Macaca mulatta: one gene and its partners. The protein of the gene in region 2 interacts with the protein of the main gene of each other region in a pairwise test. Links are inferred from orthologs where the notes say so. Each region holds a gene or a part of one and is shown on either strand. Other genes may lie near its edges.

Region 1 (4,135 bases), on a different chromosome or scaffold from region 2:
GAAGGGGTGCTGAGGCCCCCAGTGTTAGGAACCAGCCAAGAAGACAGAAAGAGTGAAAATCAGAGAGTTGGGGTGCCCTGGAGGAAATGAGGAAAATGCCCCAAAGAGGAAGGAGGGAACAAATATGACCAATGCCCCTGGCAGAGCAAGCAGGCTGAGGGCTGAGGATTGAGCAACGGGAGGTCACTGGTGACAGTTTCACTGGAGCTGGATGGGGAACTTGAGGGTGAGGGAGGGGATGGGAGGACTTGGGGACAGCAGTACAGGCAATAGACAAGGGGGTCTGCTATAAAGGGGAGCAGATAAATGGGATTGGAGCCAAATGAAGAAGGTGGGTGTCAAGAGAGGGCTTTACCTTTACAATGGAGAATATAGTGCATTGTGCACTGGTGGGGGGAATTGGTCTCTTAGGAAGAGAAGTTCAGTGCCGGGGAGGGAGAATGCAGGATGGCTGGGGGAGGGTGGGGGCGCTTGGCCCCAGCAGAGACCCGGGATACTTGGGAAGTTGCGCTTCCCTGGGCTTCCCTTCCTCTCCTGTCTGCAAGGGGTCAGTGGGCTGAGATTTCAGCACTTAAGCAAAGCATTTGCTCTTGGCCCCAGAGAAACCAGGTTGGCTGTGGTCTCAGGAAGGAAGGAGCTGTCCAGGCTCAGACCTGGGCCTGGGTTTCAGGGAGGGCCCTTGTGGGTCGCTCCTTGACCCTCTCTTTCAGCAAGGAAGTGCTCCTTTCTCTACATGGGCCTCACCTTGGGGAGGACAATGGTGTCTTTGAAGTTGTAGTAACTGAAGTAGAGATCAAAAGGCAATGCAGATAGACTAATAGATTTTGCCTGAAGAGGGGAAGCCCGATCAGGTAATAAAGGGGTAAGAGGAAGGATGTGAAGGACAATTTTTAGGAAACAGATAATGAGTGAATATTTTTTCTGTCTCTTTCCCAAGTTAAACTGAAGCAGGAGAAACTGAAGCTAGCTAGACATAATGAATAAATTCCCAAGCTGGTGAGCTTCCTGAGCTGGTTAGTGAGGACAGCACTAAGGCCAGGCCCTCCTCTCCGGATGTTTAATATGAGACAGGACAATGCCTGCTCAGAGACAGGGGACTGGCTGAATTGGCCCTCAGGATTCTCTTTGCTCTGAGGTTTCTGGAAGAAGGCCAGGGCAGAGGTGCGGTGATGCAGCTGCTGGGAGGACAGAGCTCCGAGTCACGTGACTTGGGCGGCCCTCCCCTTCCTGGTGCCCACAGAAGCCCGACGTCACTAGCCGGGGTGTGTATGGCTCACACGTAGGCCAGGCTGCCCTAGGCTTGGTGTGCTAGGGAGGGGCCCCTACTTACTTGTGGCCTGTCCCCTCGTGAATGTGTCTCATGTCCCCAGTGGGGTTTTTCAGGGAGGGTCATGGTCTCCAGGATGCACAAGGCTTTGTGCTAGAATTGCCTGGAATTACCTAGTTCTGGAAGGCTGGTTGGCCAACTCTGGCCTCTGGCTTTTCCTTTGGGAATTTCCCTTGAAGGTGGGGTTGGTAGACAGATCCAGGCTCACCAGTCCTGTGCCGCTGGGCTTTTGGTGTTTTGCACAAGGCCCACCCACAGATGCCATGCCTGCTCCCCAAGCCTAATGGGCTTTGATGGGGGAAGAGGGGGTGGTCCAGTCTCTCCCGATGAGGAGGAAAGAGCAAGTGTCCTCCTTGGACATTTTCTGGGTAAGAGGAGCAGGCATTGTCCTGTCTCAGCTTGACTCTCAGCCTTCTTTCATCCCTGGCTGCGCGCATGCTCCCAGGCCTGGGGTGAGATGGGGAGTGCTGACTGTGGCTCTGGGCTGTTTTCTGGGGAGAGTGGGTGGGTGGTTATTTTCCCCAGGACCCTGGCAGGGGTGATGGTGGGGGCTGCTGTCGCGTCCTTGGCTGATGTTTCCACAGCTGAGAACCACTCCAGGGCCAAGCCCAGAGCTTATTCTACCCCCTTTTGGTCCTCTCTTCCCCCGTCCCCCGCCACCCCACCCTCTTGGCTCCTCTGCTTAGAGGTGAGCACGGGGAGGAGACCTCCTTGGCCTGAGAGAACTACCTTAGTTCCTGGATTCCAGTGGCCTGTGCAGGGGGGGGACACTCTCTCTCCCAAGCAGCCAGACACACACATAACCTCATTGCCTCCGTTTCCCCATCTGACCAGCACAGGGCCTCCTGTGCCCCAGCAGCGTTCTGAGAGATTGGAGGTTTTTCCTTTTGCTTACCTTGGCTGCCGTATGAGGATGGTTACAGTGTTCCTCCCACCCCCAGCCCAGGGGATATTTGATTCATGAACATTTCCACGGTGTCTCTGCGGGGGACAGTGCCGTGCCAGGCTCAGGGATGCTAGGACGAGTAAGACCCAGGCTTCCACGTGACCCAGGCAGGGAGAGAGACACATAAACAACCATCAGCAAAGAGGCAAAATCCCCAGGCCGCTTGGCGTCTACTCCCTCGAGTGGCTGGGAATGTCCCTGATTTATAAAAAGAAGCCGACGGCTCTCTTTGTTGTCCATGCCTACACCCTTTCACTTTCGTTTCTTCGAGGCACTGCACCAGCCCTTGTCCACAGACCCCACGACAATCGCAGAACTAACCATGCTGAGAGATTTTCTCAGCTGCTCAGAGATCCTCCCAGGGCTTGAAGCTCCTGGAGGGTTACTTGCCCTCAAATTCCCAGAACCCACAGCAGGTGGCTAACGGTAGCAGCAGCAGCAGTCTGTGCACGGTGGTTTCGAGGGCGTGGGAGGGAGGTGAGGGCCCTAGGGCAAGTGTGTGGGGGAAGTGTTGATGGGGGACAAGGCACGAGAACGCTTGGAAACAACTTAGTTTGCACCGTAATTTTTCACTTAGCCTAGGATAGGACCTTTAGAACAATACTCTGAGTGTACCCCTTGGAGTAGCAGTGTGCAAAACACACAGCAAGGGCTTGGGGCCCCCGTGGGGAACCCAAATGTAAGAGTTAGAGACATGCATTCTGGAGTTGCACACGGCTTGTGTTGAAATCCTGACTCTGCCTGTCTAGCTGTGACATGTCGTACAAATCGCTGAGCCTCTCGGTGCCTCAGTGTCTTCCTCTGTAAAATGGGCAGATCATAGGCACTACTTCAGAGTGGCTGGGAGGGTTCAGTGAATTCACGCAGGAGAGCACTTAGAATGGCGCCTGGTGTGTTGTTTATGCTTAATTAATATTAGCCATTACTGAAACTGCTGTAGCGTGAATCCGGCCAGTGTGGAGCCCCTCTCACCCTGCTTTGAAGAGAATGAATTCCCTGACTGCTCGGAAGATCTCTCTTTCTCTCTCTCTACTTTTTACATTTTTATTATTATTTTTTTGAGACAGGGTCTTGCTCTGTTGCCCAGGCTGGAGTGCAGCCTGCAACCTCTGCCTCCCGGGTTCAAGTGATTCTCCTACCTCAGCCTCCTGAGTAGCTGGGATTACAGGTGCCCACACCACGCCTGGCTAATTTTTGTATTTTTAGTAGAGAAAGGGTTTTACCGTGTTGGCCAGGCTGGTCTGGAACTCCTGATCTCAAGTGACCTTGGGAGATCTCTTGCTCCTCATATTACCTCAAGCCTTTTTAAATGTTTTAAGCCGGAGACCAAGCATGGATGTGGGAGTTAGGGGTCTTGATTTAATTCTTGGTTGCTTCAAACTCTCTGTGGGACCTTGAGGTGTTTCTTGCCTTCTCTGGGTCTCAATTTTCACATCTGTATGGTGGGGAGCTTGGATTGGGTAATGTCTGAGGCTAGAACCATGGCCAACTCGGGTTCTGCTGGGGCTGACTTGCCCTGGCCTTCCCCAGCCACCCCGCGTCTGGCTTCTGGAGAAGTCCTGCACTGACCTTGTTCTCCTCCCCAGGTTGTGAAATGTGCTCGCAGGAGGCTTTTCAGGCACAGAGGAGTCAGCTGGTGGAGCTGCTGGTCTCAGGGTCCCTGGAGGGCTTCGAGAGTGTCCTGGACTGGCTGCTGTCCTGGGAGGTCCTCTCCTGGGAAGACTACGAGGGCATCCACCTCCTGGGCCAGCCTCTCTCCCACTTGGCCAGGCGCCTCCTGGACACCGTCTGGAATAAGGGTACTTGGGCCTGTCAGAAACTTGTCGCTGCTGCCCAGGAAGCCCAGGCCGACAGCCAATCCC
Region 2 (4,001 bases):
TCGATTTTGAAACTACGGACGTTGAGTTTCCTCTTTCACCCAGAATTTTCAGATCTTGTTTAAAAAGTTGGGTGTGGTTTCACGCGGGGAGGGGGAAGAGCGAGAGGAGACCGGAGGGACGGGGGCGGGGACTCTGCAAGAAAAACCTTCCCCGTGCAATCGTGATCCAGGAGGCCCACGTATGGCGCCTCTTCAAAGGCTGAAGAAGTTTCTTACTAACAAAAAGTCCACACATCGAGCAAAGTCAGGCTTTAGCGAGTTATAAGAACTTAGAGGCGCTCTTGTCCCCCAAAGGGCCCCACCGCACACATCAAAGCGATGGCCCAGCTCTAAGTTGGTAGGACTGGGAACCAGCAGCACGCGCGGAGCCGCGGAGACTCGAGTCAATCTGGTCTAACGGTTTCCCCTAAACCGCTTAGCAGCCCTCAATCGGCGGGACAGCAGGGCGCGGTGAGTCACCACCGGTGACTCAGCGACCCCACCCCTCTCCCTCGGGCTTTCCTCTGCCACCGCCGCCTGTCAACTCCCGCCGTCCGAAGCTGGACTGAGTCCGTTAGGTCCCTCGATAGAGCCTCCCCTCCCCCCAACATCTCCCAGCCAAGGCAAGTCGACAGAGGCGCGGGCCGGAGCAGCCCCCCTTTCCAAGCGGGCGGTGAGCGAGGCTGCGCGGGGCCCTGAGCCCTACGTTCCTGAGCTGTGCGCGCCCCCATCCCGCGTTCCAATCTCAGGCGCTCTTTGTTTCTTTCTCAGCGACTTCAGATCTGCCGGATCCCTTACTCTTCCCTCTTCCCGCTCCTTTGCTCGCGGGTCTCCCCACCTGACCGCAGCCCCGAGGCAGCCGCGCGCTTCCTCCCACGCCCCTCTGGCGCGGTGCCACCGGACCCCTCTGGTTCAGTCCCGGGCGGATCCCCCCTCACCGCGCGACCCCGCCTTTTTCAGCACCCCAGGGTGAGCCCAGCTCAGACTATCATCCGGAAAGCCCCAAAAGTCCCAGCCCAGCGCTGAAGTAACGGGACCATGCCCAGTCCCAGGCCCTGGAGGAGAAAGGCTCGAGGGCGCCCCCACCCCACCCGCCCACCCTCCCCGCTTCTCGCCAGGTCCCTATTGGCTGGCGCGCTCCGCGGCTGGGATGGCAGTGGGAGGGGACCCTCCTTCCTAATGCGGTTATAAAAACAGCGCCTTCGGCGGGGTCCAGTCCTCTGCCACTCTCGCTCCGAGGTCCCCGCGCCAGAGACTCAGCCGCGCTCCCACCACCCACACCCACCGCGCCCTCGTCCGCCTCTTCTCTAGGAGCCAGTCCGCGCCACCGCCGCAGCCCAGCCCATCGCCACCCTCCGCAGCCATGACCACCAGGTCCGTGTCCTCGTCCTCCTACCGCAGGATGTTCGGCGGCCCGGGCACCGCGAGCCGGCCGAGCTCCAGCCGGAGCTACGTGACTACGTCCACCCGCACCTACAGCCTGGGCAGCGCGCTGCGCCCCAGCACCAGCCGCAGCCTCTACGCCTCGTCCCCGGGCGGCGTGTATGCCACGCGCTCCTCTGCGGTGCGCCTGCGGAGCAGCGTGCCCGGGGTGCGGCTCCTCCAGGACTCGGTGGACTTCTCGCTGGCCGACGCCATCAACACCGAGTTCAAGAATACCCGCACCAACGAGAAGGTGGAGCTGCAGGAGCTGAATGACCGCTTCGCCAACTACATCGACAAGGTGCGCTTCCTGGAGCAGCAGAATAAGATCCTGCTGGCCGAGCTCGAGCAGCTCAAGGGCCAGGGCAAGTCGCGCCTGGGGGACCTCTACGAGGAGGAGATGCGGGAGCTGCGCCGGCAGGTGGACCAGCTAACCAACGACAAAGCCCGCGTCGAGGTGGAGCGCGACAACCTGACCGAGGACATCATGCGCCTCCGGGAGAAGTAAGGCTGCGCCCATTGCAAGTCGCTGGGCCTCGGGAGGGGGCTGGAGGGAGAGGGGAACGCCCCCCGCCCCCGCCAGGGCTGCCACGCCCTTGGGGATGAGGCCCGGGGGAGGCCTGCCGGGGGGACTGCGGAGAGCAGCGGCTGTGGCTGTGGCGGCGCAGCCCCGCCCAGAACCCAGACCTTGCAGTTCGCATTTCCCCCTCTGTCCCCACACATTGCCCAAGGACGCTCCGTTTCAAGTTACAGATTTCTTAAAACTACCACTTTGTGTGCAGTTGAAGGCCCTTGGGCACAATGAGAGCGAGTCCTCCAAACTTTTATAAAGTTTCCTGCCCCTTCTGGCGGGCGGCCAATCGCCCGGCGGGCGAAGGAAGGAGGGGAAGGCGGTGGAGGGAGCGAGACAAAGGAATGGTCTCTCGGGGGTGGGTATGGCGGCGCTGTCCTGCAGGTCTGTGCGGCGACCGTGATTGCCCCTCTGCGCGGTGCCCAAGGTCCCACTGAAACCTGCCGAGGGCCACAGGCCTGAAAGCTGCAAGCGCTAGTTGCGCCGAGGTGGCGCAGCGGCTCTGGAGGCGCAGCGCGGCTACGTGGTGGTTGGGTGTGGCCGCCCCGCCCCTGGCGGTTTCCCAGTTCCCCTTTGGTTAATGCGCAACTGTTTCAGATTGCAGGAGGAGATGCTTCAGAGAGAGGAAGCCGAGAACACCCTGCAATCTTTCAGACAGGTTTGTAGGCTCTCTTCCCACTCGCAGCTACCTGACCCCACCCAACACAACCCACGAGCAATTCTAAAAGTTGCTTAACCCACGTCTAAAAAGTGCAAAACTTCAGGGCTGCGCGTAAAGCCCTCTAGTGGCGGGAAGACCACAGATTGGAGCTTCTCATTATTAGAAAAAATATTAATAAAACCGCTTGGACGATTTTTTGGGGGGACGGAGTCTCACTCTGTCGCCCAGGCTGGAGTGCAGTGGCGAGATCTTGGCTAGCAGCAACCTCTGCCTCCCGGGTTCAAGCGATCCTTGAATGATTTCTAAGCCGTTCCTTGGGACATAAAGAAAAATCTTTTAACTTTTTACTTTGTTTGCAAAATGTTGCACAGTTTTGCAACACATTGACCTTCTGGTTTCGAACGGTCACAATTTTAGATTGTGGTTTGCCAAAGTCAAGTCGCTTAATTTTTACAAGGTCACAAAAAGCGCAGTTATGCCCTACAGTTTAAAATGGAAAACGTGTTGGAAGATAAGAAAACTTAGTTTCCAACTGGAATGGAGCCAGCAAGTTTCTTTTCTTCTTTGCAACTTCTATTGTGGCATTAAAGTTCGATGGAAGTATCACTATGCACAACTATTTTGTGATCTAATAAGGGTGAAAAGGAGCCATCTGTCCCCTCGGCTGAGGGGTATTAATGGTTTCTATGGGCTTCACTATGGAATGTAGATACAGACATTCTGGCAAATGTGGTGGCTGTGGACAGAAATAATAGGAGTCTTTGTGTTCCCGGGGAAGCTTTGCAGCAGGCTACATTCTTATTGAATATGTAGTGATGTAAGCACGGTTCTAATTGGACACAAGTATTTGCTAACATCCGTTATCTAATATCTGGCCCAGACTTGAGAAGTATGTAATGTAAAAAGTTTTTAAAGCTACAAACATACCTCACATTTTGAAAGTCCTTTCTTGATTGGATTCTTGTATTCTTTAGCACTCTCGCCATAAAAAATAATAATAATAGTAATAAATCTAAGGCTGAAAAATTCAATTTTAACTAAAGGGTTTTTGTGCGTTTTTTTTTTTTTTTTTTCCCACCAAAATTGGATGGACTTACAGAATTTTTGACTTAAAATTGGAATCCAGAAGCCAGAAGATCCCCATTATAGTCTATAGTTTTATTCCCTGGAATATTTACTGGGATTAACTACAAAGCACTCTCAGATGAATAGTGTAGTACAACATTTTGAAACTGAAATACATTTACCAAATTAATTTAACCACAGCAATGTGTGGTTCATTTTAGTCCTTGAGCATTTTTGATTATCATACCTGTAATGTTTTCTGCAGAGTAGTGAGTTAACGTAAAACAACATCAATACAAAAGA
Region 3 (4,120 bases), on a different chromosome or scaffold from region 2:
CCATTAACAAATGCAAAACCTAACTTTATCAGGCTTTCATAGCAACTTGCTTTCCTACAGAAAATCCTGTTGCTTACAGAATTTCCTGCCACAAACATTTTTGGGAAGCCCTCAGGATACTTACACTGGCTTGTGAATCAATCATATGCTCAGCAGGTACTGTTCAGTGGGATACACAGTGTGGCAATACATCACTCTGAAATATTTCAGTTTCTTTTTTTTCCCCCTAAATCTGGGTAAGTTCGTGGGAATTTGCAGCACACGCGAACATCTTCCATCATTCTTGCATGGGGCAAAGGGAATTGAAAACCACGATTACTTTAGAAAACTAGTTTCACAAATTGGTGACTGTATTAAAGAAGGATATTGGTTTTGGTAGCATGCGACCACACCATTTCTGATCTGAATAAATTCGGAACTTATGACACAGTTCAGAAATTGAATGCACTTTCTCAGTATGAGGAAAGTATTTTAGAATGAGGCCCATTTTTCAAAGGATCTGTGGAAATCAATGCTATGCTCTCATTTAGGAGATGGAAAGAGTGAGGTTACATTATCATTTTGATGAAATCTACAGTCCAGATTACTGGTGGATGAATTGAAACTACTTTTTTATTCATATAAAGCATTTGAAATCAGAAATCTGGAGTACTTTTAAATCCCATTACTTATTTTGTTTTCATTGCCAGGTAATTCCTGAGACAGTACTGCCCCAAAGAGCCTTTGCAATTATGTAAGAATCTCCGAGGCAGTTCTTATGTTCCGCAATTCAAAAGAACCACATAACTGCAATTTAAATACCTCCTCCCCCAAAATAAGGTCAAAGTTTATCTCAAAATAATTTCCCCTTTCTACACTGGGACAAATATGTATAGGAATAATAGAAAATATGTATGGCAATTTCTCAATTCAAAAGAACCACATAACTACAATTTAAATACCCTCCCCCAAAATAATGTCAAAGTTTATCTCAAAATAATTTCCCCTCTCTACACTGGGATAAATATGTATAGGAATAATAGGGGGAAATTCAGTGCACTGAGCATTAAGCTGTCAAAACAGGAATGTTTAAAATATCCTGTTAGTGGTTTAAAAATAATTTGTACTCTAAGTCCAATGACTATTTGCCAGGGAGAACCAAAGTTGAGAAATGTGTATTAAAAACATGACTCAGAGAAAAAAATGCACAGGCTGGTAATGAAGGAAATGATTGGCTATGATTCCCAATTGGTCATTCCTAAGATCACATGTTCTGAGCACCTTTAAAAGGAAGTTATCTGGACTCCAGAGGGTCACAGCACTCTCTTGAAAACTGCAGCTTCCTTCTCACCTTGAAGAATAATCCTAGAACTTACAAAATGTGTGATGCTTTTGTAGGTACCTGGAAACTTGTCTCCAGTGAAAACTTTGATGATTATATGAAAGAAGTAGGTAAGGAAATGCATTGTGGAATGACTGGATTTATAATATTTTCTTTTGGGAACAAGAGTTTATAGCTGTGTTTATAGCAATGTCTGGAAGCCCTGGCCAGAAATGAAAATGCTGCTTTCTATAGAAAGGCTGCACACATAGCAAGTGATAATCATTTGTTTATAGAGAAATTCTGAACCAAAGCTACAACTAATGCTTCCTGAAGGTGTACCAATATTAAAAAGTGTCTAAATTGAATGTTTATGGCCTTTAAAAATGATAAGATTTGACTTTAATTGCAAAACTTGGGTATCCTTGGTTTACTTAGCTCTTTGCCTATTTCTCTTTCATCCCCTTTTGCATATAAAATAAGCAATAACTTGGAAAAAAGTTAGTATGCAATAATTTTCATTTGAAACTGAAAGCACTCTAGTTCCTTTAATGCAATGTTCTTTTTCAATAACTGTATGTTAGCCAATTATTTTCTTGTCTCAATGTTAATCTATTAAAATATGTGGTTGTTTTATGATAGACAAAAATTTTAATTTCAGAAATATGTTTCTTAAACAACTTAAATACTTCCTTTGACTAGAAATGACATAGGATGCCATAGAATTATCAACCAATTTAAAAGGAGAATGTTACGTACATAACATACCTCTTCTTTGATAGTAGAGGTGTTTAATTTTTTAGATGCTATTAACATTGTCAGCATGTCATTGGATGAACGCCTCTCAGATAACAATGGAGGTAAAGTAGAAGAGACAACGTCTCTCTCAGGCAGCTTCTACTTTGAAAGCCTTTCTCCCTCAACCCCATGCATGACAGTCCATGAAAGTCAGAACTGGGGTTAGCAAACTGGGGAGGAATTTTATGCAATCTTCGGGTTTAAAACGTAATTATTAAATCTCAAAACACTTAACCCTCCTGTAAATTATACAGTATATACTTTTTTGCTTGTCTGTAACTATGTTTCTTGTTTTTAGATGATAGGAAAATTGGTGACTTTAGCATGAGAGAGACTTTCTAGGATAAACTAGAGTGATTCAATAAACTAATTAATATGCACGGATGCAGAAATGCCAGGATTTGGGGTCATTTAACTATTTATTTTTAGAAAAATTTTATACTTTTAATATTTATATTTTCTAATAACACTGTGTTTTTAAATTATAAAGGACTGATGATAATTAAAGTCAATAAAACACCTTTTGCATGAAATTGAGGATGAGTGAACAGGTATTGTTTTCATCAGTCACATAAAAGCAAAATCAAGCAAATGGAGACTATGGTTTTTCCCAAGGTCAGCCATTCTAGAATCACACTCAGTTTTGCCTCCATTCACGAAGCAGACTCACTCCATACATTTAATGTTATATTTTGTAACAGAGCCAGGACTTGAAGACACACCTGTGGCCATTTTTCAGACAGCCAGTGAAATCAGAGCCTCAGAATTACTTATTTTGCACCATGTGTCTCTCCCAGTTCTTCCCAATTTCTAACCTTTGGTTGCCTTTAGTCAAAGAAAGAGTTTAGATTTACATGCACATGTTTAAAAAATTCAACACATCTATGACTAATAAATTCTGCATGACATACACAGTGACAGCAAGTTACTGCTATGTTTGGCTGTAAATTATTCATTCCATACCTTGCACAAGACAATATATTCTCCTTTTTAAGAAAGAAAAGTTCACAACTTAGGTGATTGGAAATCTAAGTATTGGCTTCTAACCTATTCTAAACTAAGAAACATTGATTTCTTAAATGTTAAAGTTTTCACAATTTGATGACTAGTCCCTTTTTAAATATCCCCTATAAATTATTAGGAATGATATCACCATTCTAAAATGTTATAAATGTAGGAAACATTTTGCCTTTTGTATAAATTCATCAAAATCTTCATCTCATGGTGGAGTAATTTGAGAAAGAAGCACAGAAAAGTAGACTTGGCAACAAATGCTATGAAATGTGACTTTTGTACACTCAAAACTGACAAACATTTAACTAAGTAACTCTACATTAACCCCCAAAATTCTGTTGAAAATTCTGTCTTTGTGCCTTCTTAAATGTAATATTGAGTATCTAAGATGGAATGGTCAACTATTTTATTAAGAGAGAAAAACAATAGTGGCTAACATTTTAAATATATATCTTCCCAAAGATTTTTGTTGAAAATAAACAATGGGTCTCCTGAGAAGGTGTATCCAGACCAGAGAAAGGGAAATTTAAAGAATAGGCCTATACCTATTGTTTCTCAGAGGTTGTGTGTGTGTATGTGTGTGTGTGTGTGTGTGGTTTTGTGTGTGTGTGTGTGTGTGTTTAAGTATTAACCTGATTTTATCTGCAGGCGCTATTTAAATTAAGGCCTTTAAGAAACTCACTGTGTCTTTTTCCTCTTACACATGCACCTGTGGGCAGACACACATTCTCTGGCTTGGCTAAGTATGTGACAGAAAATGTCAACCTGACATCTTTTCTATTCCTAACTGTAGGAGTGGGCTTTGCCACCAGGAAAGTGGCAGGCATGGCCAAACCTAACATGATCATCAGTGTGAATGGGGATGTGATCACCATTAAATCCGAAAGTACCTTTAAAAATACTGAGATTTCCTTCAAACTGGGTCAGGAATTTGACGAAGTCACCGCAGATGACAGGAAAGTCAAGGTGAGAAATAAGGAACTGGCACAGAGTACATGCCTGGTTTCT

Evidence for each region.
Region 1: the proteins of VIM (region 2) and NOD2 interact in binary tests that used the Homo sapiens proteins (3 or more experiments, as listed by UniProt). The link is inferred for Macaca mulatta from reciprocal best matches to the Homo sapiens genes VIM and NOD2.
Region 3: the proteins of VIM (region 2) and FABP4 interact in a two-hybrid assay, tested with the Homo sapiens proteins (2 studies listed by BioGRID and IntAct). The link is inferred for Macaca mulatta from reciprocal best matches to the Homo sapiens genes VIM and FABP4.

The regions. Positions count from the first base shown.
Region 1 is NC_133425.1:46,148,875-46,153,009, forward strand, and holds the start of NOD2 (nucleotide-binding oligomerization domain-containing protein 2), read left to right. Parts: upstream 1-1,324; 5' UTR 1,325-1,610; coding exon 1,611-1,695; intron 1,696-2,222; exon of another isoform or gene 2,223-2,356; intron 2,357-3,859; coding exon 3,860-4,135. UniProt on the Homo sapiens protein: Pattern recognition receptor (PRR) that detects bacterial peptidoglycan fragments and other danger signals and plays an important role in gastrointestinal immunity.
Region 2 is NC_133414.1:18,787,212-18,791,212, forward strand, and holds the start of VIM (vimentin), read left to right. Parts: upstream 1-1,197; 5' UTR 1,198-1,342; coding exon 1,343-1,905; intron 1,906-2,569; coding exon 2,570-2,630; intron 2,631-4,001. UniProt on the Homo sapiens protein: Vimentins are class-III intermediate filaments found in various non-epithelial cells, especially mesenchymal cells. Vimentin is attached to the nucleus, endoplasmic reticulum, and mitochondria, either laterally or terminally.
Region 3 is NC_133413.1:92,013,110-92,017,229, reverse strand, and holds the start of FABP4 (fatty acid-binding protein, adipocyte), read left to right. Parts: upstream 1-1,307; 5' UTR 1,308-1,358; coding exon 1,359-1,431; intron 1,432-3,905; coding exon 3,906-4,078; intron 4,079-4,120.